7 linked regions of the Solanum lycopersicum genome follow. The protein of the gene in region 3 interacts with the protein of the main gene of each other region in a pairwise test. Links are inferred from orthologs where the notes say so. Each region holds a gene or a part of one and is shown on either strand. Other genes may lie near its edges.

Region 1 (4,064 bases), on a different chromosome or scaffold from region 3:
GTGAAATTGAATTCTTCGGAAACTCCTGTATGATATCGAATCAGGAACGCATGAACAATTATATAGAGAGAGTATCAAGAAATGTTTGAATCGTAGTTTCTATTAATATAAATTGAATTCTAATCTCGTGATTTAGAATTATGAGAGGATGAAACTTGCCATGTTGTTAATATAACATACCAAAAAGTGTTTTGTAAGTTCAGAACCAATGCTGCAGCAAGTGCAACCGCTAGTAAAACCTGTTTTTGATAATTAATTTTCGGTTGCAATTTTGTTTTTCTAAAATAAACAGCGTTCACTATCAACATTAAAAATCTTAAAACATTTAATATTATTATGAAAATTATCAAAATAACTTCCAGATTCAATTGTCCTTGTACACAATGGATCATTGTACATTTTATACATTTACATATGACATAATAATAAAATATATAATGTCTTCAAACTCCTCCTTAATCGATATCATTTGTAATATTAGAAAAAACACAAAATCATTATTTAATGCTAAAAATCAGTTAAAATCTTTAGTGGCGATATTATGAGCTTATATGTCGACTTTTATTATCGCTAAAAGCTTAGTTTTTAAAAGTGAATTCTAGTTAGCAACGCTTAGGTGATGGGATGTCACTAAAATTTTGAGGTATTGACTTTTAAAAATATTTGTGGTTTTTTAAAATAACATTTTTTATTTTAAAATATAACGAACGATTTAAATAATCAAATTCACATGATTCACAAGCATTTTTGACCCTTCTCTATCTTATTAATCATTTTGACATTGAAAAACATTTCACTGGTTCCAACAATACAATATGCTTCTTCTGATCTAATATAAATGAATTATTGGTATGCGGACACATTCCTTAAGAAAGATATTTAAAAACATCAATTAAACAATAGTTTGTCCAACATTATCCTTTTTTTTTCTTCTCAAACTCTTCTTAAAAGTAGAATAATCATTATTTGAGATTTAAAAATAGCTGAAAACTCCACTAAAAAAAGAGGGATGATTTATAAAAAAAATAAATTAATATTTTGTTGAACTTTGTAAAATTCATTCATTATAAATCATAAAAGAGAGAACATCAACAATTCGTTTGTACTTTGGTTTTTCGATTACCGAACATAACTAAGAAAAAGAATATTTAATTTCAATATGAGGATATTTTTACTAGAACTACACTTATTTTGGAACGGACCAGAGTAGTGGATTTGCCACTCATTTTGGAAGGCTTAGCCATGAAATTGTGGAGAAAGTCACGCATATTATTCTCTTTCTTTTCATCCAATGATTAAAATACACTCGTAAGGATTTTTTCGTTTCCTCTTATCACATTCGGTTTTCGAGGATATCTACAAGAACTCATACGATAATGAGTAGCTCAACGTCAACGTCATCGCCATTTAGTCGTAGCAGGACACGTTTAGGGAAATATGAATTGGGTAAGACATTAGGTGAGGGAAGTTTTGCTAAGGTAAAGTATGCCAAAAATATACAAACAGGTGAAAATGTAGCCATCAAAATCATCAATCGTGATCGCGTCCTACGACAAAACATTATGGAACAGGTACCCCCCTTGCCCTGTACACACATTTTGCATCCAGGGCCAGATGTAGGCTATTGCGTACGTTGGCTCAAACGTTGTATATATATGTTATGAAATTCAATAAAAATGTGAAAAAAATCAAAATTTAGAATTCAGTTACTAGCATTTGAGATCGTTGTGAAGTCAAAAGTTTTATGATGTGTAATTGAACTAGTTAGCACATAAGTAACTGTGAAAATGTACGTTGTCATGTTGTTTTTTGTTCTGAATAAAGGGAATGAAAGATGTTAGATGATGAATTTCTGTTGCAAATTTCTTTTGATTTTCGAAAGGAAGGGCGATTATGTGATCTATGATGTACTTTGATTGATAGATTAAAAGAGAAATATCAACGATGAAGTTGATCAGACATCCAAATGTCGTGAGGATCTTTGAGGTATGTCGTAAAACATACAATTTATTTGAGCATTTCTCATTTCCATGTCAAGTTATGGCGATTGAACAAGCATACACATGATTTTGCTTCCATTTTTTCTAAAGTTTTGAAGTTACACGTGCTTATCGTCTTGAGTGCTTCATATCTTTGTTATAACAACAATAACATATCCAATGTAATCTCATAAAATGGGGTTTGGAGAGGGTAGACTGTACGCAAACCTTATCCTTATCTCGTAGAGGGTAGAATATTGCTTCATATATTTGTAATTCTCTTTATTCTAACTCTGGTTACATATTAGGTTATGGCTAGTAAGACGAAGATCTATATTGTCCTCGAGTATGTACATGGAGGAGAGCTCTTTGATGAAATTGTAAGTTTATTTTTATAAGTTTTCGCTTGTATTGCAACGAGAATGTCCTTATACATAAGATATATTACAGGCTAGACATGGAAGACTCAAAGAAGATGAAGCTAGAAGATACTTTCAACAGCTTATTAATGCCGTTGATTACTGTCATAGTAGAGGTGTTTTCCATCGAGACTTGAAGGTTTCTGACCCTTGATCGCATTCTTTTAGATACCAAATTTTTTTTTATCTTCACGATTTGGCTAGTATTAATATTGAGTTATGCGATTTGTAGCCTGAGAATCTATTGCTGGATTCATTTGGTATTCTGAAAGTTTCAGACTTCGGATTGAGTGCACTTTCCAAGCAAGTTCGAGTAAGTATTCTGTACGATTGAAAGAGGTTAAAGAGTATATAAAGAGCTATTCACTCTGTCCCTCACTTCAATCGTATTCACTTTTTAGTATTATTGATGGAATACTCTCAACGTTATTCAGGACGATGGACTGCTTCATACTGCTTGTGGCACACCTAACTATGTCGCCCCTGAGGTAACAACAACCTTAAGAGTAGTCATTACTAGTTACTCCCTCCGTTTCAATTTGTTTGTCTTGCTTTCCTTTTCAGTCCGTTTCAAAAAAGAATGTCTTTTTCCTTTGTTGGCTAACTCTTTGATCCTAACTTCCGACATGAGATGTTTAAGACTGCAAGATTAAAGGACATTTTGGCGATTAAGATCACACAAATCATAAGGCTTATTTATTTTCTTAACTGTATGACAAGTCAAAACCAGATAAACAAATTGAAACGGAGGGAGTAGTTGTATCTTACTGTTTGCTGTCTTTAACAAGAAGTGTTGTATCAGGTGCTAACTGACAAAGGCTATGATGGTACAACAACTGATGTCTGGTCCTGTGGAGTCATTCTCTTTGTTCTAATGGCTGGATACTTACCTTTTGATGAGCCAAACCTAAATGCTCTATACCGAAAAGTAATTTCTGAAAGTTTCAAATGATCAGAGATGTTTCTGGAATTCTTCGTTCGTTTATTTTCAGAATGTTGTCTGAATAATTTTGCATGTATATTGCTGTCAGATCCTGAAGGCTACGTTTTCACTTCCACCATGGTTGTCCTCCAGCTCAAAGAATCTGATCAACCGTATTCTTGACCCGGATCCACTCACAGTAAGTCCCTTTTATCTTTGCTTAATTTACTGTCTAGAATGAGTTATTGACATGATACATAAACAGACGGTTTCAACTGGCAAGTAAACACTCCAACTTTGAGTATGTGTATCTAGACGCACCTCAACTCGTCTCCATTGTATAGTTGAACACTCCACTTACAGAATGATTATCTATACACCTCTAAATTTATGTGTCACTTCAACAATGGGTGTCCACGAGATATAGTGGGGACGAGTTAGAGTGTTTAGTTGTCAGTTGAGACTAAGTTGAAGTGTGTTGGTGTGCAATCCTCTCCAGTTGAGGTCAAGTTTGAGTGTCTATTTATGTATTACGATGAGTGATTTCTGATCTTTTGTTTTAGAGGATCACTATTCCAGAGATCCTCGAAGATGAGTGGTTCAAGAAAGATTACAAGCCGCCTCCTTTTGAGCAAGACGAAGATGTCAATCTTGATGACATTGATGCCATATTCAATGGCTCGGACGTAAGTCACATTTTCAACTATGTTTATAATCTGTATCGAGAACCAAACATCGTGTGTC
Region 2 (4,217 bases), on a different chromosome or scaffold from region 3:
ATTAGCTTTGTGCTCTAGCAACTCAATACATGTCATTGACCCTATTTTGGGTCTTGGGTGATGGCAAAATCTCTGAAACTATTCTTGTTCAATTGGAAATGGAGGGAAGAAAAAGAAGCAACATCAGTATATGGAATATGAGACCTCTTCATATTTTTTGGTCACCTGGACGAAGAGAAACATTGGATATCTTTATGTTGGGAGAAATTCATCAAACAATTTGAGATAATCTACTTTACAACTTGCTGCTTTATGGTGTAGTTTACTTATATAGATGATACAGACTTTTTGTTTTATTTTACTGGTTCCTACTTCCTGGCTATTAACAGACTAACTACACATTCTGTAATTATATGCATCCACACTGGATAATAATCTAGCCTTTCTTACCTTAAAAAAAGAAAACAAAAAAAAAAGAACTGGTCATACTCATTCATAGACTTTAGACTTGATTTCATGTCAAAGTTGGCTTACTGATTGTACTTGATTAAAATTTAAAGCCTAATTGTTGACTCTAAGACTAGAATTTTTAAAATTAAAACAACAATTTTATGGTAAACTTGAGCCACCACTAGTCTTGTACAAAATTTTCCCTAAAACCAACCCCACCGTATTTAGCATGGGCAAAATGCAAATCAGAAAGCAATGCCTTGACTCCTTAGTAACAGTATCTGCAACAGGGAGCAATAATAGTCCTATCACCTATGGCTTCCTATCCATGAACCAAACAACCAGTTGATATATTCTGAGAAAGCATGCAAATAACATCAACAAAGATTAAATGGTTGTTTGTGTTCATGGATAGGAATGCACAGAAATATAGTTGACAAGCTAAGTTCCATAGAAATCCTGAACTAGGGTTGAGAATTACAACATATGCCAATGTCAAAATGCTCGGTCAATAGAAAATAAAGGCTTGAGAATTTGAAATGATCAACTCAGTGATGTTAGCTACCAACAACTTGCAGTATGACTTCCCCAGAAAGGTGTGGGACTAAAGGAATAAGTTACTTGCCTTCTCTTTCTCAGGAGTGTAATTCTGTTTTCCCTTCCTTTCCCACCTCAAATATGATTGGATCTGTACAAGCTCCTCAGGAACTGAAACATCTGGACCTCGTATCTCTTTTCTTGATAATTTGACACGAAAATTACCACCATTATTCTTTATCCTGAAGAAGAAACAGAGGTGAAATCCATGCAGCTCTTTAACCATAATGCTATGCTGTTCCTTCACAAAGATACTCATTTACCATTTATCTCGGGCTTCATCATATATGAGAAACTCAATAGCTTCGATAGCAGTGTCCAGTATCTCCAGTCTCAGGATGGAGTTAGAGCCGGACTAAGAGTAAAATTTCAACAACCAAAAATCATCAATTTTGCATCATAACTTAATCCATTCATGTATGAGAGCAGCAAAACCAATTCCAACTTACTTTAACAAATGGAGTCCTAAGTGCTTTGTTCTTGTACACTTTGGTTCCATCCGGACAATCATTAGGAAGAGACCATGTTCTAAGATAATCATATAGAGAATAATATAAGGATGATTAGTCATCACAAGCTTAAGTCTCTCAAAATGATGACAGTTCAATTTGTAATTAAACTTACTCTTTCCCGAACTTTACTGCCCCCCAGTGCAAAAACAGTTTATCACTACCATTTGTAACTTGAAAATCCACGAAGGACGCATCATCTGAAGTGGGAGGCCTAACATCAACCTGTTATAGTGCAGAAGAAAATTTGTATGGCCAGCATAAGACATATAGGCTGACTCTTTTACAAGAAAGTCATTAATAAAAAATTAGTTTTGCAAAGGTAGTGTCCCACATATGTACCTGTAGCTCAATATTCCCTTCTAAACTGAACTTTTCTGCTAGCTGTTAAAACATTTAAAATAGGTAATATTAGAAAGATATTTGCACGGCGTCATGGATGCTGAGTTATGAGTCTTTTTTTTCCTTTTGAGAAAGATTCTGAGTTACAAGTCTTGTGCTCCATATTTACCAATAAATGACATCTGTCTTTTGTTTTCACCTCATTATACATTCCCATAGTACATAAACTATTCAGTATTTGTTTCCTATGTCGAACTCTAGTTTTATTTTTATTGGATATGATAGTACTGAAAGGAAAAATTAGACATCTATTCTCAATTATGATTTCATATTAGAACTTACAAGGATCTGTCATAGCAACAGATCTTCAAGGAGAGTCCCACTCCAGCAACAAATATAATGCAAGAATGAAATATTAAGAGAAACGAAAAAGGGACAAGATAAGTTCAAGTTATCTTATAGGAATCATCCGCATTTATGCAGAGTGTAACCAAGCTAAGTAGCCGGTTTCTAAGCAATCAAGCAGACGAAATCGGAAAGAGGAAGAGAACTGCCTATATGCAGTAAATGATGACCAAAACATTCAAGAAACGGGATAACTATGTACTAATAAATGAGAAAACATTATCCAGTTGAGGAGCTGATTGAATTGTAACTAGATAAAAATCACATCTTGTCATATAGGTAGGTTGGGCATTTACCTCAGAAGAGGTATCAGTGGTAAGTAGAGCATGAGGATAAGTAGAAAAAGCACGCTTCTTTCCCATTGGTATTTTTTTGTTTTTCTGCACTCTTAACCTGTTACCTCGAAACTCAGTTGATAAAGGTGATTTCGAGATCACTTGCTGTTGAAATAAAGAATTGCCTCCAACACAAGGAGGAGTGATTCTACTTTTATGTTCCAATACAGTTGAGGTTAGGAATCCCTGGTACAGCAAGTTATTCCCTAAGGAATTACTCATCTTCTCACACTGCTAATAAAATACAAAATCAATCAATACAAAAGCAATGGACCGTTCATGAATAATCAAATGAGTATTTTTTCAGTTTTCTTGTTGTAAAGTGCAACAAAATTTTTTGTGAGTTTTAAAAAGGAATCAACCAAATCCAGAATTCCTTCAAAGCAATACAGAAATATACTAATTAAATGTATATCGGTGATCAATCACATTTTCCCCACTTTTGTTTAGTTTTTTGTGTCGAATAGAAAAATGACCAAACGAAATATGCTATGCTGCAATTAGACGAGCTTGAATTTGAAAAATTAAGCTTAGGGTTTATATACATTAAACCATGAAAATCAACACCAAATTCGATCGAAAGACAAATTTTCAGATAAAAAAAATGTTGGAGTTGTCAGATCAAAGTAGAGTAGAAATTTACCTCAAATTCAGCTTAGATTGGAGAGTGGAAAGTGGTAGTGAAATAACGTAAAGGAAAAGTATTTGATATGATATGATATGATATGATATGATATTATATTATATTATATTATATTATAGGGAAAATGAGTTTTGAGATGAGTTATGGTGGTGAAGGATTGGTTATGGAATTGCGGGAGATGGAGCCGGCGTGGGCCCCGCGTACTAGAGCAATTTGAATGGTTATTTTTGGAGTTTTGTCGAAATTTCATTATAACCTCTTCTTTTTCTTTGATATTTTCTTCGAACTTTTTCACAAATCAAAAAGAAAAAATCATTTTATAATTAATAAAATTAAACAAGTAATTAAAAATTACGAGACTTCTATTCTTAGCTCTGGCTAATTGAATTAATTTTCAATGATTGATTTTCTTAATTCTTAGTGCATAAATTTTTTTTATATTATCTAGTACGAAAAAATTAAATAAAATAATTACAAATTTGAAGAGAGAGACTAGAAACAATATTTGTTATATAAATGACACCAACAAAATCTTTAGTAAATGGAATTGAGGTATTATTTGTGGCTTCTAAACAACTATATATACCATGGTTGAACCTAATAAGATAGGCTATGTAATTATTATTATATTTTTTTTTTAAAAAGGTATAATAATCCAATAAATGTTGAACTTGATCTTATTCAAAAAAAAAAGTGCGTGAATATTAAGGAACGTATATAAGAAAACTTTTCCAATAAACAGTACCCAAGACAAAAAGATAGAATTGTGGAAAGAAAAAACAAAATTAAAGGAAGAAATGGCCTATCAATTTTACAGATCTATAGGCAGACATTAAATGAGAGTAAGTCGTGGTGTCCCAAAATTTTAGCACACGATAATATATAAGAGTGAAAAAGACATTTTGACCCTTGAATCAAATCAAAAGAGAGAAAGTAATAGTACTCATTTATAAATTTATGAAGATGAAGCAGTTTCAATAATCTTGAAACTACCTT
Region 3 (4,163 bases):
TAAACGGTATTATTAAATCGAAATAACATCTGAAATTATAAGATAAATAAGCCTCTCTAAACCATACAAATGAGGGTCAAAACTCGAATGAAGGGTTTGATTGAATAGTGAAGAGTCTCACTCGTGCCTTCACTACTATCAGTAACGGGAATATATTCAGTAAAATCTCACTAAGTAGGATCTGAGAGAGGGAAAATTTATACCAATTGTATCACTATCTCGCGGAGCTGGAAATCACGTCTTCAAACTACAAACGTCTTAATAATAATAATGAAATATGATATTCGAAATAGATTATTATAATGAAATTTCAAAAGTAGAAAAATAGTACCTGTGCTGTGAGGCTTTTGATGGAATCTTTAGTATGGGGAGTAGGAGCACGGCCACGAGGTCCTTCTTCACCTCCATCATCTTCTATCTTTTGCTTACACGTTATACATGTCAACATCCTTCTCCTACACTCTCCCTTACTATATCTTTTCTCCTACAAAAAATAATTAAAATGAGTTAAGAGTAAAAAAAAAAGATATAATACATTTAAATTTATGTCTTTTTTAACTTTGGGCGTACACAAATAGACACTTAAACATGTATAAAGTTGAACAAATACACACATGTCATTTTTTGTCCTACATGTATTGTGTCATGTAGGACTCATGAGTTTATTTATTCAAAAGTTGGATAGTTAAAGTGTCTGTTTGTACATTATGAAAGTTGAATGTCAAAGTTAAAATTTGAAGCCAAATTTAGGATCCAATATATGTATTATGCCAAAAAAAATTCACTAAACATATATTTATAACAAAAACGGATATTTCGTTACGTTTGTGAGAGAGAATTTTGAATATTATAATTTTAGCATAATTTAACAGAAGTTGCAAATTTGAATCTTATTATCTAACTTATGTATGTTAGATGAGATGTTGAATTTTAAAAAGTTTACTAAATATAAAAAGCAAAGTTTGTTTGAAACAAAATTAAAATGAAAAGTGAGAGAAACAATTTAGTATACATTTTTTTGTTTTTCTTCTTGGAAAATAATGTAAAACATTGACAATTTTTAGTCACATAAAAACCAGACAATCTTAATACTAATTCTACGACAACAATAACGAATTTAGTATGATATCATAAAATAGAGAAATTTGAATATACATCGCACTTTGGAAATACATAAAAGATTATTTTCAATAGATTTTTGACTGAAACAAAAAAAAAAAGCGGGATCTGTGTTACCTATATATATATATACTTATACACACACAAACAGTTACTTGAGGACAGTGTTCATTTGACCTAATCGAATTCTCTAAATGAAAAATAACTCAAATATTAGAAGAAAACTCTAACGTATACCGAATGTAGTCCTACAAAGTATGATATAAAATATACGTATATCTTAGCTTTATCTTATAGATAAAAGAAGTTGTTTTTAAAAATGAAGTTAATGAAAAAATAAATACATGAATGTTGTAATTTATCTACCAAAAGACAAAAAGAAAAGAAGTTAAAACAGAAAGGGAAAAGAGTATGTGTTTGTTAATATATTAAAGAGAGAAAAAAAAAAACTCATTCTGTAACATTGCTTTAATGTATAGATAAATAAAGAAAATTCATAATTAAAAGAAAGAAGAAGAAAAAACAGACCTTAATTTTTTTAAAAAAAATTATCAATGACCAGAGCCGAATTTTCTGACAGATAATTCATCATTATTAATGAATTATAACATATTTTTTAAAAATAAAATAAAAAAGTAAAAAAAAAAAAGTGGAAAAAAATAGGAGTAGGAGCAGAGTATAGAATGAATGATAAATCGCTGTATAAATTAATAGACATTGTCGAGTTTTGAAAGCGGCCACTGATTCTACATACAGACAAACACTCTTGATAGTGACCCAACCCTCCAAAACAAAAAAAAAATTAGTTTTATGTGTCGATTTTAATTTGTTTATTTGATTTTGACTCGAAATAATATTTATGAGATTTGAAAAATATTTTTAAATCTCATAGTTTTAGTCTTAAAAACCTGTTTGTATTGACTTATTTTATATGTTTTCGAGGTAATAGATTCAAACATTGTTAGAGCATCTGTGTAAGTTAGTAAAAATGCTTATAAACATTTAGTTTTTAAACTAAAATCAGACAAAATCATAATTTTACCTTATAGCTTTTTTCTTTACTTATAACTTAAAAATGAAAAATCATTCCAAACGAGTTCTAAAGATTTGTAAAATGTGTTTCACGGTAAGCATTCAAGAATTAATATATTTTTTAAATAAATTTATATATATATATATATATATATATATATATATATATAATATAAGTCTCCGTTGTAGGGTGTTTAATTCACCATTTTTCATTATATGTGGCTACGCCACTGTTAAGATGTACGTATTAAATAAAGAGTTGTCGAATTTTTTTTAAAAAAACTAAAATGAAAAGTAAGATAAGCAAATCGAAAAGCAATTTTTTGTAAGGGTATTCATACCTCGGAATGGACAACAAAATTTGCAGAAACTGAGCTTAAATCCTTCAGTAAATATTCAAAATGTCTTCAACAAAATTCTTCCTTTTTGCTATTTTTGGATACCCTTTTGCAAATCTTGAAGAAATATATAACCAAATCACCAGAAAAATATTCACCGGAGCCGGCGAGTCTCCGGCGACAATTTTTTAATTTGATAAAATTTCAAATACAAACAAAAATTGAAGGGAGAAAGAACAAAGAAGATGGAGAATATATGTAAATGTAATGAAAAAAGCACAAAAATAGAGTGAAGACAAAGTAAGAGAAAACAACATTGGAAAATTTGCAGAGGTATTTATAGGAGGAACTGACGCCGTCAAATTCTGTCGTTATTATATAACGGAAACCGTGTATTTATATAATGGATATAAAGGGGGTACAATGCATTGTTTGGTTGTACATTGTGCTTTAAGGGTTTGGACTTTATTAAGGGTTTTGTCATTTGGACAAATGGATCAAATGTGGTCTTGATTGGGGAAGACATGATGGCCCATATGTCGAGGTTTGTACACGTGGCGTTGTTTGATTTGATTAGAAGTATTATTAAAGAGTGGGTCAACCTCGAAAAAATTTTAATAAATATTTTGGTTTGGGGAATTAGGAAATTAATTTTATTGGATCAAAGAACAATCAAATCATTGTCTTTTAATTTTTGTCATAAAAAAAAGTAATTTATTTTCGTGTTGTTAATTCCGATTTAATTTAAACGTTAATTTTAAAAATGAATTACTTTTATTACATGCTTGATTCCACTTATTTTACTGCTTTTCTGAGCATATTTATTTAATAGAGGAAAAAGTAAAAGTGAACTGGAAGTGATTTCTCAGTCACTTATTCAAAATTAAGGGCCCGTTTGAATGAGCTTAATAAAAGTAGCTTTAAAAAAGTAATTTTGAAAGTGCTGAAACTTATTTTTAAAATAAGCAGTTGTGCGTTTGGATAAAATTGCTGAAGTTAAAAAAAAAGTTGTTGATGTGTTTGGCAAATAAGTGCTGATAAACAGCTTTTTAAATCAAAATGTCTTAAATACCCTTAAAAGTTGTTAACATAATAAAAGTTAATTAATTTATATTTTATAGCCATAAATAATTATATTTTGCTATCATTCACATATTTATTTCTTATCACAAATTATTTATAAGAGGAATATAAACTTATTATAGATTTTAAAGATGTATAATTTGAATAGATTAAAGAACGATTTAATATTTTATTTTAGTTTCATCCATAGGTAATAATAATTGTCTATCATTCACATATTTCTTTATTATCACAAATTATTTATAAGAGGAATATAAATTTTTATTTAAGTTATATGTGCAACTTATTTTACATTTTAATAATATATAATTTGAATAGATCACTTGAAAGATTTAAGGTTTATTTTATTTTCATTCATTAGTAATAGTAATTGTCTATTATCCACACGTGAAAAGGGAAAAATAGAAGAAAGAGATGTTAGGGTTACGTGGATAATTTGGAGATTGTATAAAAATATTAAGGGCAAAAAGGTAAAAATGTGGTCAACTTAAAACAGCTTATAAGCTGGGAAAAAAAGCACCCCAACACCAGCTTTTAACTTTTGGCTTAAAATAAGTTTTTTTTAACTTAAAATAAGCTGTTTTGAGTATT
Region 4 (3,979 bases), on a different chromosome or scaffold from region 3:
AATCGCCTCTTATCGAAAGCTAGATCTAGTCATACTCAATCCATTATATATATTAGATATACACCAATCTTTTTACTAATTAAGTTATATTTCATGTATATCTCCATCCATTTCAATGCAGGTAACATAAAGATCCACAAGTAATTATTTTTTTAAACTATCGTCACATAAATTGAAACAGACGTAATAATACGTGTGAATTTCTAAAATTACCTTGTCAATCTTTTCTCTCCGGCAGAGTGCCTTAGTCTTCTCCGTTTCATCTCCGATCACCAACAAGAAATCGACATCGTTACATGTCTTACTTAAATTCACCATAAAAGGATAAATATTTTTCGAACGTTCACTATCTTTGCCTGCAAATTCAACCACAACTAGTCGATTTTTCGCATTTTTTAATGCTTCATCCAATTCCTCCATACTATTAACCTTTTGTACTCTTTCACTTTTAGCCACTTTTTTCTCAACATCAGGTGCTGCTGTTGCCTTTGTAATCAATAAGGGCTTGTTTGTTTTGAGGTTCTTGAAAATTGATTGTTTGGATTTCTCAAAAGGGAAATTGGAGTAAAGTGAAGGGCTAATTTTTGTAATTGAAGCTAGATTTGGAGAGGGTTTGAGCAAAAAATTTGTGAGAGTAGCCATAGATTAAAGATTTTTTTTTTCAAGAATAGCCACAAAAGGAAGAGGGATGTCAAGTTTAGAAGAAAGGGAGAAATGGAAATGTAGTTTGATATGAGGTTGTGACACTATTGGATTGAGTATCTATAAAAATCAACTTGATAGACTTTGGTTACATAGGAGCCACATATATAAAGAGAATATCAAGTTATCTAGATTTTTTGCTTCTTTTGTTTTTATGTGTGATTTTCTTTGGGTCTTATAAAAATCATAATTTGATAGGTAATTAACTTTGTAATTTGTTTGGCCATTTTTTTCTTAATTGATAAGAAATAATTTGTGGGACAAGAAATTTTTAAAGAATAATTAGTGTTTGATGAAACTTTTAAAAACTATAATTGTATTTATCTAAAAAATGTTTTTAACAAAAATTTACTTTTTAGCTTCTGAAAAGCAGTTACATATGTATAAAAGCACCTTCGAAAATAACAAATAAATTTTTTGACCTCCCGAAAGCTTTGCCAAATAGACTATTAGTTAAAAGTTGAACAGCTTGGTAAAGTTATGCAAGCATCAACGACTAATTTCACAGCTCGAATCTATAATCTATAGGTATTACGAAAATGACTTTACCATTGATTTAAAACTTGTTCTCCTAATAGACTTGGTTGAAGATTTTTATTGATTTTATGTATACACTTCTTACATAATAGAAATAGATGTATTTGTTATATTATACGTGGACTAGCTTATTTCTTTTGCCGTAAAAGGTTTGATAATATAATCTTAGTTTGACTTAGACATATTTGTTTTCTTTTTAAGAGTTCTAAAATGTCAAGTGCTTGATATTTTGTAAGAAAGTTGAAATGAGAAGCGACGTGTTAGGCATACGATTTTTCTATCTGTTTTTATTAGGTTTTGAAGTTTATCGGATTGGCTTATTGGTTATCGATTTATAGAGATGCTAAATTGTTATAGAACCATTAAGATATTGGCTTATCGGTTATTAATTTATCAGTTTTTTATCGTTATCGGTTCGGTTATCGATTTAACCATTAAGATTTGACACAAAAGCAGAAACATTGAAAATCACTTTGAAACAAAATGACAAATCAAATAAACCATGCACTTGAGTTCACAAGTTACATCTTGCTCAAAAGCAAACACTTTTACTTTGTAGAATAATCAAGTGTTTGAGACAACTAAAAATAAAAGTAGAAAATTAATTATCGGGTTATCGGTTAACCTATTAAGAAAAAACTTTAAACCGTTAAGAACCAATAACCCGATAACAAAAAAAATCAAAATCGTTATCAAAATCACTAAACCAATAACTCAATACTATAAATCAATAACTTTTTTATCGATTCGGCTTATCAATTTCGATTCGATTTTGAACAGTCCTAGTTCTTATCATATTTTTTTTCTAGTCTGTTTCAGAAAAAAATGTTTTATTAGAAACAATTTAACTTAAAACTTCAAATTTTAGTCTTGATAAGATAATTTATATCGAGAACGTCTAGTTGTCTAGATTTGTTTTAGATCACGTATTTCAAAAATCTTTCCTTCTTTCTTGTTCAATTAAACACTGTAACATAAATAGAGAAATAAAAATTGAGGAGAAATCCACACAGGACTGGATAAAAAGCCCAAAGGAGAATCAACATGAAATCTCAAGGGTTCTAACAGGCCAATATCAATTGTAGAGTCCAAAGACCAGTCTTATTGGAGACCACATAAACATCCTAGTACTAAAATTTAGTCTTGGCCCATTTTTAAAACCAGTATGGGTATATTCTAAATTTCTTACAATTGCAGCAGTGGGCTTTAATATTTTAATTTTTCTTATCTGTCCGAGTTCTATTGAACATAATAATTTGATATTTGCAACAAGAATTATGGTGAAATGGTAAGTATTCTTTCATTATTAATGAGAAGTCTTGTTCGAGTCCCCCTATTAAGCTTTCAGCTTTGAACTTGCTAGCTACATTGGTGCTCTTTCATTACTCTCTAACATGTATGACTCATCCTCAACACCAATAACAACATAACCACTATGATCCCACATGGTGGATCTAAGGGGTGTACACAAACTTTATCCCTACCTTGTGCCGGAGAGAGACTATTCCCGATGGATTCTAGACTCTTCGTGTTGAACCAAACTTCAACCACTTTGTTATTCCTGTTTTTACATGCTTATGTATCAATTGTCTCGTTTTATTACATATGAGCACCATCTGGATTCACTAACGAGATAGCTATCTTCGATACACTTGAAGAGATTTATTATTGGCAAAAAATTGAGACAGGATATGAAAAACTGGACACAACAGAGTTTATATTTCAGAGTTTAAATAGCACCAACATGGAAAACAACAACAAGAAGAAAGATAATCACAATTATTCTACAAGAGTTGTCTATTTACATATCATACTGAGAAATGGATGGGGTACCATTTCTTACCTCAATAGACTCCTCAATCCATAGCTTTTCGCTTTTCAAGGAGAATTTGGCGAAACAAGACTTTCTACATATAGATTAAGCTCGCTTCCACGGTCACATTCACAACGTGTTTGATCCTCAGGACGATCAACACTGTCATCATCTCGTGAAACATACCACCACACTAAACCTGAAACGTCTTGCAATAGAATTTCATCATTATGAGAGATGAATATCGGCCAAACCACCTTATTTACAAATTTAGGGATCGAACCCACAATAGTCCACGACTCTGCAAGTCCATACTCCTTCATTATCCACACATCTGTCTTGTTTCTATAGTCACAAGTCATACATAGATTACCAGATGAAGACACTAATTTCCAGTTACAAGTGTCACCACTTGGGTTCGGCAATGCTACATTGCCAAACCCCTCATCTCCGGGGTTGAACCATGTCGCGTTACTACCACTACCACCACCAGTGATCCAATGGAACTTTCCTTTAATAAATTTAACATTTTCAGGCAAAGAGATACTTGGGAACTCATGAATGGTTTTCCACGAATTATTTCTTAAACTATAAACACTAATATCAGCAATGAGATAACTAGGTTTACTTGCCACAATTTCAACAATATGGTAATCATTTTGAGATTCAATATAACCAAATCCATAAGCAAATCTACGATTGAACACATCAATTCCTGAATAAGGAAGTTTACTCAACTTTCTAATAGACGGATTCCATAGAAACAGATCCTCAATGTCATTATTATACCAGGTTTTTGAAATAACGAACAATCCATCACATGAACACAAAACATAATAACTTATACCAAAATTATGAAGCTCAACAGGTAAACAGGGAGATTCTCCATACAGGATTGCATTAAGAGAATATGTGCGGAAATTTTTC
Region 5 (3,034 bases), on a different chromosome or scaffold from region 3:
TGAGTTTTGGCTACCAATACATATTAAATTAATTTGGATTTCATGAATATTTTTTTTATTGATTTGGTTGGTAGATGTTTCGTGATGAACTAGAAAATGATTCAACTTACTAACGAAAAAAAAAGAGAGTACATTATAGCATTAAAAAGAAGGTACATTATAGTGTATGGGTAGTTAAAGTGGTTCATTAAGCCACAATTTTTAATTTGTTTTAGCATCAGAATGTACACAAATAAGCAAAGAACACCTAAACAATTAGCATGGAAATTATATGTTCACTAAACCAGATGCCTCGTGATGAGAGGAACGAACTGTGATCGAAAAAAGAAAACTCGAGGGACATTTTTCGCTTCGTTGAATTTCAGAAAGAGACTCGCTGTTGCGGAGAAGGGGAGGGGACATTACCATCACTAAAATGAATTTCATGATGAAAATATGATATAGTCTTCATGTGATAACAACTAGGAAAAACTGACAATTAGGAAATAGGACTAGATCCCCTGCAGATTCTCCTGCCTGTACAACCCACCATACCCTTTTGTCCAAAGAGTTTCTGCCACCATTCCTGAGATGGACTTTCTCCAACCCCACCCAACATGTATGTATTCATAATTTCACCACTTTGGAGGTGTATTTTCTAGTACATCCTGGACATACCATACTGAACAGTCCCTACTTTCCTATGAGCTGCACCACTAGTAGCTGCTGCCGCCGCAACTCCAATTCCACCATATTGGGATTTAGCCTGCAATAAGTTTGTGTCTATGGTGATTCGGTCATCAACACGATCTGGTTTTGTAACTCCAGCTCGCATCATATAGAATGGGTTGCTATCAATATTTATAGCAATATCTGGGGCTAACTTAGCAGCCATTCCACATGGTGCCATTGGCTTTGAATGACAATTCATATCCCTCTCTGTCTCAACAGACCTTTCTTGTTTCACCACCCCACTTCTGTCGTAGCTGTAAACTGAAGACATAATCTGAGGGGGGCCTACTGCATTCCTGACTTGAGACCTAGGATCATATTTTTCTCTATTTCCCGAATCATAAGCCAAACCGGGACCAACAACTTTTCCTGGTTTGGCTGCTGGATTTAAATAGAAGATTGTGAACCATATGAGCATCATTGGAAACATCACAGTATTACAGAAAGTCAAAGTAGAAAAGTATTTCATCATTGACGGAAAATACCTAAAGCATTTCTTGGCTGAGCCTGTAGGGTTCTTGTTAGACTACTTGCAAGGCCTTCAGAATCTCTGCAGTTTCTACTGCAAGACTCTTCACCATTTTGTCGGTCTCTCATATTGGCAACAATAGGCTGTTCTTTCAAAGGGTTTGGATTTGAATGTACAACTGTAGACCTGCAATAGAATCACCGTGTTATCATTTCTAACTTAAAATAACACCAAACAAACAAGTTATACAATAAACTTTTGATTCATTCATCTTAAAAAATGCAAACCAAAGACTGACAGATATTGTATGATTGCATATACAAATTTACATCTGAAGCCAAAACTAAGATGCATATAAAGCATGAATTTAATAAGCAATCTAGTATTTGAATATCTGAACTAGTGATGGCCCGATTAAACATACTATGTAAATATATAGAAGGATATTAACACAGAATTGCAATTTTATTTTTATTTTTTTTTGGAGAATGGTAACTAACACAGAATTGCAATATAAGTGCATGCAGGGAACGTCCCAAGCCGAAACATCAACTGGTTTCCCTAATAGCACCAAACATCCAGTCAACTCAAATTCTTTATACCAAGTTGTCATATAAAAGGAAAGATTTGATCTTCTTCCTAGAATGGTAACTAACACAGAATTGCAATACAAGTGCATGCAGGGAACGTCCCAAGCCGAAACATCAACTGGTTTCCCTAATAGCACCAAACATCCAGTCAACTCAAATTCTTTATACCAAGTTGTCATATTTGATCTTCTTCCTAGATTAGACGATGTTATAAAGGAGGAAATTTGAGCACCAGGACTCATAATCACCTTGGAAGAGAGACATGCTTCCTGTCCATCGGAACCACTGGAACGCCATTACCACCGTTCTCTTCCAAGTGAGCGAACTGTTTCCTGAATTGATCAACAGCACTGCAAGGAAAAGCAATATGTAGTCAGTAATCCTTTGTTTAGACGAGTAAGCTGATGCACAAATGTCAAGAAAAATATACTACCTCGGATACAGAAAATTAGTCCTTTCTACACCATTCAAGTAATCCTTCCTCAGCTGAGGATGATATTCTAGTATCTCCCGGAATATTAATTCCCTGAGATCCTCCTTCGTCACTCTTCGCCTCTCAAATTCGAACTCCATTTTTGAAATTGACTTGCATGATGGTTCCCTTTCAGATTTAGCCAGACCCTTAAAATAAGGATCAGCTAGTGCCTGATTTGTTGGGTGGGGGGTGTATTAGTAATTACCATGCAAGAGAACAAATTATACTAAAATATCCAAAAGAAAAGCTCAAAATTAGTATGATCGGCATGCTAACACGAACCTCCTCAGCAGTGGGTCGGTCCTTGGGGTCAAAAGCAAGTAATCTTTCAAGAAGTTTAAGGGACAAAGGATCAGCATTTGGAAATTTCTGAGCAAAAGAAACAGGCTGCTTCTTTCTCATGCTAGTTAGGTATCTCCTAGCCTTGTCATTACGCACCTGCAACAGCCATAAAAAAGTCTAATGAGAAACACAAGTTTTGAGGAAAAATTGTCAAAAACGTAATGTTAATTGAATTCACATACACGAGAAATTGTATCCATTGAAGGCGTTCCAAGCAGATCAGTCATTAAATCCAGTTGGTGAACTACATTTTTTCCAGGAAAGAGCGGCTTCCCCGTAAGAACCTCAGCAAAGATACAGCCTATGCTCCATATATCAATTGCAGGGGTATACTGCAAGCAGAAACCATCAAAATTTGTGATAGTCAGAACTACATGCAGTGCAATGATTATAAACAAATTCCAGGAAAATTGACACTCTACTATGAAGGGTGATTGACCTCACAAC
Region 6 (2,925 bases), on a different chromosome or scaffold from region 3:
ATAAAGAGAAAAAAAAACAGAAAGGTTTTAATTCCATAACTCTGGTTGTAACTTCTAAATTTCTGGATTTTTTTAAAAAATTGATAATGTTGTATTCCTCAGCATTAAGGACATGCTGGAGACCTTCAAAAAGAAGCAAAAAGAGAGTAGAAGGAAGCTGTTTTTAAAAAATTAATGGAACTATATCCATTCCTTGAAACTTTGTTCTTAGTATCATCTGTTCTCACCTAACATGAAGATCTCTTAGGCCATTCATTGAGCAAACTTGAACCAAAATCTTAGAGAACTAGTTAAGGGGGCATAAGCATGTACGCATAATACAAACTTGGTAAATTCAACTCGGAATGAATATGAACTTTGAAAAATAGGATATGGGAATAGAAAATAGGAGGAAAAATTTATGATGCTGATGCGGATTGTGAGCATACTTGTCAAAGGAGAGTTGAACTACAAGGAAATCATCACCCATCAAATGCAGTAACAATTTTAACATCTTCTCTCTTTTTGATAATTGTGTGATCATGAATGAGGGTGTTGTTGGAAAATAGTGCAGGCTTCATAAATTAATTACAATAAAAACAAATCTGCCCCTTAATTAGTAGCATAGATAGTAAGAAACAAGTAGCCACTGAAGACTCAATCTTTTCGTAAAGACTAAAGACCCAAATCCAGCTGGTAGGATGTACATTAGGGTTAAGCAGAATGATTCAAGCAGAGAAGAGGTACAGGCCACCATATGCAGTTCCTAAGGAGATTTATCTTATCAGCCAGTTTGATGGTAGATAAATGCTGCTCTTACCCTTCAGTTATCTTTCCTCCATTAGTCTGGAAGCGAAAAGCTGAACTTGCATCAAAAGTATCAACAAAATAGAAACACAAATGAAACCATTCCTTTCTTGATTCCCTTGCTAACTTACATTTAACTATAACCAAAAACTGCAGCCTTTGAAACTCAAGGGTGAGGGGGCCACCCCTCTACCTTCTACACTTAAATACTGGATTAAGTTCACTTGGCACAGCTCAAACTTGTGACCTAAGAACCAAGTCCCTCAACCTTCGTCAATTGAGCTACCCCCCCCCTCACCCCCACCCCAAGATACTAACTTACAATATACAACCCTAACAATATGCTATGTGGTTTTCTAGCATAATGAGTATACTGGGAATTGATAGGTATTCTAGAACCTTGAGATCAGCACTAGAGTTACAAGTGTTAACACGAGAATTAGATTCTCAGGCCAATATGTGGGCATAAGGTTGGTAGCGGGTTGGTAAGATTCCTTAACTAGAACTAGCACCAGCTAACAATTTTATTATTTAAGCAGAATGCATAAAATTAGCAAAGCAACAACCAAATGACCAGAATGAGCAACTTACTGTGTGAAACAAAAAGAAGCTACATACAACACAGAGATTACACACATAGAACTCCTTTTTAAAGGAGCAAATTGGAAAAATTCACCAAAACAATTGAACAACAGCAGGGAATAGCACATAACACACTCTCACAGTCTCTCTCTCCCTCCTTTTTTTGGGTTTTATACAATGAGTAAGCAAAGATACTACTACTACCTGCATAGATGGCGGCTTGAGTTGAGCTCTAAGGTCCCGAACTGCAGACTAAAACATTCACCAGTAGAAAAAGTAAGAAGAAAGAATTGATCAGCACAAAGTAAAGAGAAAACAATGAATTGGATATATACATTTTAAAACAAAGGCAACTAAAGATGAAGGAAAGAGCACCCAATACTATACATACAAGAAAGGATTTAAAAAAACAACATTCCATTGCCTTCTCACTCGCCTCACCCCAAGAGAAGAAAGACATGACATCTGATCAGAGGTTCTGTCGAGGATAAAACTAGATGTATAACATAAGGGCATCTCTAGTATTGATTAGATAACAGATCTCTTCAATTGACAAAAATGAAAATGAAAGATTATCTGACTAGCAGTAGGCTTTTGTTTACCCTAAAATGTAGGCCGCAAGCTTCATTGCACACCATAAAGATGAGACATTTTCTCAGAGTAAAGTACAACATACAGTTGGCAACTTGGATAGCATCTACAAACTCAAAGTTCAATTTCTTAGTGAAATCATTATCTTTTGCTCCATATAGTTTTCTTGCATGGTTGCACCATATAGTAAGATAACATGTTCAAATATCCTGCTCAATTTTGTTGAGATAGCCGCAAAAGAAAAACAAATTGTATACAAGATAGTTCAAAATTAATCTGTTATACAGGCAATCCATCATTTGATGTACATGGACAAGTTTACCTTCAACTCTGCTATCTCCTGCTCTCTTTTGGCAAAAGTAACAATAAATGCAGCCTCCTTTTTCTTTGCTCTTTCCAACTACAGATTGCAAAGATGAGATAATGATTAGAAAAAACTTCAATAATATTTTAGCAATGAACAAATAAAGAGGAATAAAAAATAAAAATAAATAAAAAACCTGTTCACGCAATGACTCCTCAGATGATCTGATGTTCTGAAGATAACTGACCACAAACTTGGGTTCTGCAAATAAGCACAGAGTTAATTCTCTTCAGAATTAAAGAAACCACTCCGTCTCAATCAACATGAAGATCTTTCCATTCCCGAAATGATGAACATGAATGATATCTCGCTCTCTTTTTAAAAAAAATAATAATAATAACACATGGAATTTAAACAATTCAATTTTAAGCAGTGATGTGATGGTGGAAGCATCACACTAGTCTACTAAGTATTATTTAAAGAACAAGTCAAACTTTCCCATATAACTCCAAACACTTTCAGAACCATATCATCTAACAAATGGGAGAGGAAACTAAAATACGGTGCTTCTTTTATTAATGATGTAGGACTCTCAAACATACAGCATCAATTGGGGAAAACACGAAGATAAAAAAAAACAAGAAGAAAGGAACAGGATTTTG
Region 7 (3,402 bases), on a different chromosome or scaffold from region 3:
GAAAGTCAGTCTTCTTTATATCCTTCTGTTTGACTACATTATATAGAACGAATATAAGCTTCCAGCTGCAATGGAACCCTATATGTTCAATGAAACGTCAAAAACAATAACCATGAAAAGTTCACAGGACTGATCTTGAAAAGAAAATGAATGTCATACATATACAAAGAATTTCTATCCTACGGCCAGTGGCCTAGACCCAAAAAAAGGGGCTTTTATCAACTTACTCAAAGCATCATAAACTAAGTCCAATATTAGCATACTGTATCAGTAACAAGAAAAGAAAGATGAACATGCACAAAGTTGTACCAAAACTGCAAAAATTAGTAAAAGGGAACTTAAGGTTCGAAGATACCCATTATATAGGTGGTAGATTCATTTCACAAAGCCGCGCAAAAATTACATTTTAAAGTCTACTGGAGCAAAACTTATACTAACCTTTTGAAGTTTACCGGGCAAACAAAAGACATAATTTCAATCATTGTTTTGCACGGAAAAGATCCCCAAGTCAAATATATCAGTTTTTATTTTGATACCAACTAATACGACTAATACATAGACAAGGCAAGTAATGCATGACTAATTTATGTCCATCCCAAACTTAAAACCCATTTTTGGGGACTAAATAAACCCTAGCCTTAACAACTGATCCATTTCCAAGCTTAAACCCGGGACTAACTGGAAACCCGACAACTAGACCCATACCCATTCTCCCTCCTATCCCCATGGAAATGGAATACTTCACCACACTTTCCATGTACTTGGGGTGAAACTCCGATCCATTGCTTGTCTCAAAGTGACTTGGCGGAGGATCCAAAGAAAAGGCCAGCAAATGCAGCAGCCAAACGGCCTTTGCTAGCCCAAGAAACTCTCCGTAAAACTGACTCCTCGGATGGTTCCCAGCCAGTACCTGACGCCTCTGCTCCAAATCACCAAACAAAGACTCCTCCATTTTAGGATGCACGATGGCCAAATACTTCTTGAAACAGAAGTTCCCAAAACTACAAGTTGGGAGAATTCCCAGAAGTTCCATTGGGTCCATGGCTTTCATGTCCCTGTACTGTGTATAACACTCCCGGCGGTGCTGGTCTGGGTGGAGGAGTGATGACAAGCTTCCGTCCATGTAGAACGTCTCGTGATCGAATCCTTGGAACATTTTGCGGTTCACATAAGATTCCAGTGCGTATTTTGCATGGTTGGCTCCGACAATTGAATCCGCCGTTGGTGTGGTGGAGTTAGATGAAGCAGCTTCAATGGATCTCACTGCCGCCGCAATGTCCCAGTGAGCAGAGCGCATCAAAGAGAGGAGCATACTCGTGAAGGATTTTGAGGCTTCTTTTACTGAGCTCACTGTAGATTCGAACAGGTCAGGTGCCGGCGACATATTAACTGGAGCTTGACTGCTGCAGTTAACTCTCCGTTTTGACTTGTTTTTCTTTCCACTATTGCTGCTAAGCAACGTCGCCGTTTTTAGCTTTTCCTTCAAATCATCGATCTCAATATCCTTTGCCTTCACCTCTTGCTTCAGTTCTTCCACGGCTGACTCATACGGCGCCACCACTTCTCTCAGCGTCGCCACCCCGACTCTCCAGTCCCCTCTTTCACTTCCACCGCCGACATTCCGCCGGAATCTTTCCCTCAACACTCCAAGCCTTCGCAGTTCAGATATCACAGCCACGTCAGCCACGCGCATTTTATCCTGATCCCAAGGACAATGCGCCTCCTGTAGACTAACGTAAGCCTTCTTCATTGCCGACACTGCATCAAACACTTCCCCTAAAAGCATTTCCATTTCATTTACTTTCTCAGTTCTTATCTCCTCATTTTTTACCTCGAAATTCTGGAATTTTTCCAGAGTTTCCACATAAGGTGAGTGTTCTTCTTCTTCTTCTTCGGTAGTGTACTTGTCATCTTCAGATTCGTCGGCGTCACGAGCACCAGAGATGTGGCCGTTGGAGGAAAGTGGGTGGAGCAAGCAAGAAGCAGTGACACGTTGGATCAGATCCGAGAAATTGGAAACCTTGTTGGCCATTGTCTAACACAGTAGCAGCAATTTTGGGATCAAAAGTGAAACAAGACTTGACAGTCCAAGATGATATGGTTCACAAGTTTAGTTATTATTTACATTCAGGACCGATTTATTTTACAATTAATTGTCTCTTGTTCTTCTTATCTTTCATAGAAAATAGTCAAAATGTTGTTGGTGATTTTTTCTAACCTTATCTTTTATTTCCGATTCCAACATATTTTAATAGCTGGTCAAACTGACTTAAAAGTTGATTTTTAACTTATTTAGTTGTTTGGCAATACTCAAAATAACATTTTTTAAGTTTAAAAAAATTTATTTTAAGTCAAAAGTTAAAAGTTGGGATAGGGGTGTTTTTTTTTTAAGCTTAGCTGTTTTTAAGTTGACCAAATTTTTACCTTTTTGCCCTTAATATTTTTATACGATCTTCAAATTACCCACATATTTCTAACATCTCTTTCTTCCATTTTTCCCTTTTTCACGTGTGGATGATAGACAATTACTATTACTAATGAATGAAAATAAAAAAAATCTTAAATCTTTCAAGTGATCTATTCAAATTATATATTATTAAAATGTAAAATAAGTTGCACGTAGAACTTAAATTAAAATTTATATTCCTCTTATAAATAATTTGTGATAATAAAGAAATATGTGAATGATAGACAATTATTATTACCTATGGATGAAACTAAAATAAAATCTTAAATCGTTCTTTGATCTATTCAAATTATATATCTTTAAAATCTATAATAAGTTTATATCCCTCTTATAAATAATTTGTGATGAGAAAGAAATATGTGAATGATAGCAAAATATAATTATATATGGCTGTAAAATATAAATTAATTAACTTTTATTATGTTAACAGCTTTTAAGGGTATTTCAGACATTTTGATTTAAAAAGTTGTTTATCAGCACTTATTTGTCAAACATATCAACAACTTTTTTTTAACTTCAGCACTTTATTCAAACGCATATCTGCTTATTTTTAAAATAAGTTTCAGCACTTTCAAAAATACTTTTTTAAAGCTGCTTTTATTAAGCCTATCCAAACGGGCCCTTAATAGTCAGATAAGAGTGAATTAGAACTCTTTTAATTGTTATTTGGACCTTTTAAATTGCTTAAGTATATATTTTGGACTTCTTAAATTTTCAAATGCATACTTCAAATTGTTGTATATGAAACCTATTTTAAAATAGGAGCGAGTATCTTTCGATAAGAAAACATACAAGTACTACGGGTGTGCTTGGTAGTGAGAAAATATTTTTGATGAAAAATGTTTTTTTATAAAATAAGTAGATTTTGAATTTATTTTTTTATTTTTTGTCGGTGAATAAAAAATATTTTTTTAAAATAATTTTAGTGTTTAATT

What was found.
Region 1: the proteins of protein BREVIS RADIX (region 3) and CBL-interacting serine/threonine-protein kinase 9 interact in binary tests that used the Arabidopsis thaliana proteins (3 or more experiments, as listed by UniProt). The link is inferred for Solanum lycopersicum from reciprocal best matches to the Arabidopsis thaliana genes BRX and CIPK9.
Region 2: the proteins of protein BREVIS RADIX (region 3) and GWD interact in binary tests that used the Arabidopsis thaliana proteins (3 or more experiments, as listed by UniProt). The link is inferred for Solanum lycopersicum from reciprocal best matches to the Arabidopsis thaliana genes BRX and SEX1.
Region 4: the proteins of protein BREVIS RADIX (region 3) and thioredoxin-like protein CDSP32, chloroplastic interact in binary tests that used the Arabidopsis thaliana proteins (3 or more experiments, as listed by UniProt). The link is inferred for Solanum lycopersicum from reciprocal best matches to the Arabidopsis thaliana genes BRX and CDSP32.
Region 5: the proteins of protein BREVIS RADIX (region 3) and MAPK12 interact in binary tests that used the Arabidopsis thaliana proteins (3 or more experiments, as listed by UniProt). The link is inferred for Solanum lycopersicum from reciprocal best matches to the Arabidopsis thaliana genes BRX and MPK20.
Region 6: the proteins of protein BREVIS RADIX (region 3) and FKBP12-interacting protein of 37 kDa interact in binary tests that used the Arabidopsis thaliana proteins (3 or more experiments, as listed by UniProt). The link is inferred for Solanum lycopersicum from reciprocal best matches to the Arabidopsis thaliana genes BRX and FIP37.
Region 7: the proteins of protein BREVIS RADIX (region 3) and protein GRAVITROPIC IN THE LIGHT 1 interact in binary tests that used the Arabidopsis thaliana proteins (3 or more experiments, as listed by UniProt). The link is inferred for Solanum lycopersicum from reciprocal best matches to the Arabidopsis thaliana genes BRX and GIL1.

What each region holds. Positions count from the first base shown.
Region 1 is NC_090804.1:62,292,181-62,296,244, reverse strand, and holds the start of CBL-interacting serine/threonine-protein kinase 9, read left to right. Parts: upstream 1-1,264; 5' UTR 1,265-1,376; coding exon 1,377-1,571; intron 1,572-1,923; coding exon 1,924-1,986; intron 1,987-2,287; coding exon 2,288-2,359; intron 2,360-2,429; coding exon 2,430-2,537; intron 2,538-2,630; coding exon 2,631-2,711; intron 2,712-2,832; coding exon 2,833-2,886; intron 2,887-3,200; coding exon 3,201-3,326; intron 3,327-3,429; coding exon 3,430-3,519; intron 3,520-3,883; coding exon 3,884-4,006; intron 4,007-4,064. UniProt on the Arabidopsis thaliana protein: CIPK serine-threonine protein kinases interact with CBL proteins. Binding of a CBL protein to the regulatory NAF domain of CIPK protein lead to the activation of the kinase in a calcium-dependent manner. Involved in K(+) homeostasis under low-K(+) stress.
Region 2 is NC_090804.1:305,270-309,486, forward strand, and holds the start of GWD (glucan water dikinase), read right to left. Parts: upstream 2,801-4,217; coding exon 2,540-2,800; intron 1,881-2,539; coding exon 1,839-1,880; intron 1,722-1,838; coding exon 1,612-1,721; intron 1,516-1,611; coding exon 1,437-1,515; intron 1,343-1,436; coding exon 1,251-1,342; intron 1,170-1,250; coding exon 1,016-1,169; intron 1-1,015. UniProt on the Arabidopsis thaliana protein: Mediates the incorporation of phosphate into starch-like alpha-glucan, mostly at the C-6 position of glucose units. Acts as an overall regulator of starch mobilization.
Region 3 is NC_090807.1:62,148,378-62,152,540, forward strand, and holds the start of protein BREVIS RADIX, read right to left. Parts: upstream 2,801-4,163; 5' UTR 2,493-2,800; intron 485-2,492; 5' UTR 449-484; coding exon 332-448; intron 1-331. UniProt on the Arabidopsis thaliana protein: Acts as a regulator of cell proliferation and elongation in the root and shoot. Regulates roots architecture and primary root protophloem differentiation.
Region 4 is NC_090803.1:67,684,140-67,688,118, forward strand, and holds the start of thioredoxin-like protein CDSP32, chloroplastic, read right to left. Parts: upstream 2,801-3,979; 5' UTR 643-2,800; coding exon 214-642; intron 1-213. Other genes in the region: F-box/kelch-repeat protein At3g23880, read right to left, coding at 3,118-3,979. UniProt on the Arabidopsis thaliana protein: Probable thiol-disulfide oxidoreductase involved in resistance to oxidative stress. May participate in the reduction of alkyl hydroperoxides derived from oxidative stress by acting as a physiological electron donor to the BAS1 peroxiredoxin.
Region 5 is NC_090806.1:66,716,894-66,719,927, reverse strand, and holds the end of MAPK12 (mitogen-activated protein kinase 12), read right to left. Parts: intron 2,920-3,034; coding exon 2,770-2,919; intron 2,684-2,769; coding exon 2,528-2,683; intron 2,416-2,527; coding exon 2,204-2,415; intron 2,121-2,203; coding exon 2,019-2,120; intron 1,367-2,018; coding exon 1,197-1,366; intron 1,093-1,196; coding exon 638-1,092; 3' UTR 501-637; downstream 1-500.
Region 6 is NC_090802.1:59,708,002-59,710,926, forward strand, and holds part of FKBP12-interacting protein of 37 kDa, read right to left. Parts: intron 2,525-2,925; coding exon 2,460-2,524; intron 2,360-2,459; coding exon 2,282-2,359; intron 1,621-2,281; coding exon 1,573-1,620; intron 1-1,572. UniProt on the Arabidopsis thaliana protein: Probable regulatory subunit of the N6-methyltransferase complex, a multiprotein complex that mediates N6-methyladenosine (m6A) methylation at the 5'-[AG]GAC-3' consensus sites of some mRNAs.
Region 7 is NC_090801.1:62,847,449-62,850,850, forward strand, and holds protein GRAVITROPIC IN THE LIGHT 1, read right to left. Parts: upstream 2,033-3,402; coding exon 602-2,032; 3' UTR 501-601; downstream 1-500. UniProt on the Arabidopsis thaliana protein: Required for red (R) and far red (FR) light-induced and phytochrome-mediated deregulation of negative gravitropism leading to randomization of hypocotyl growth orientation.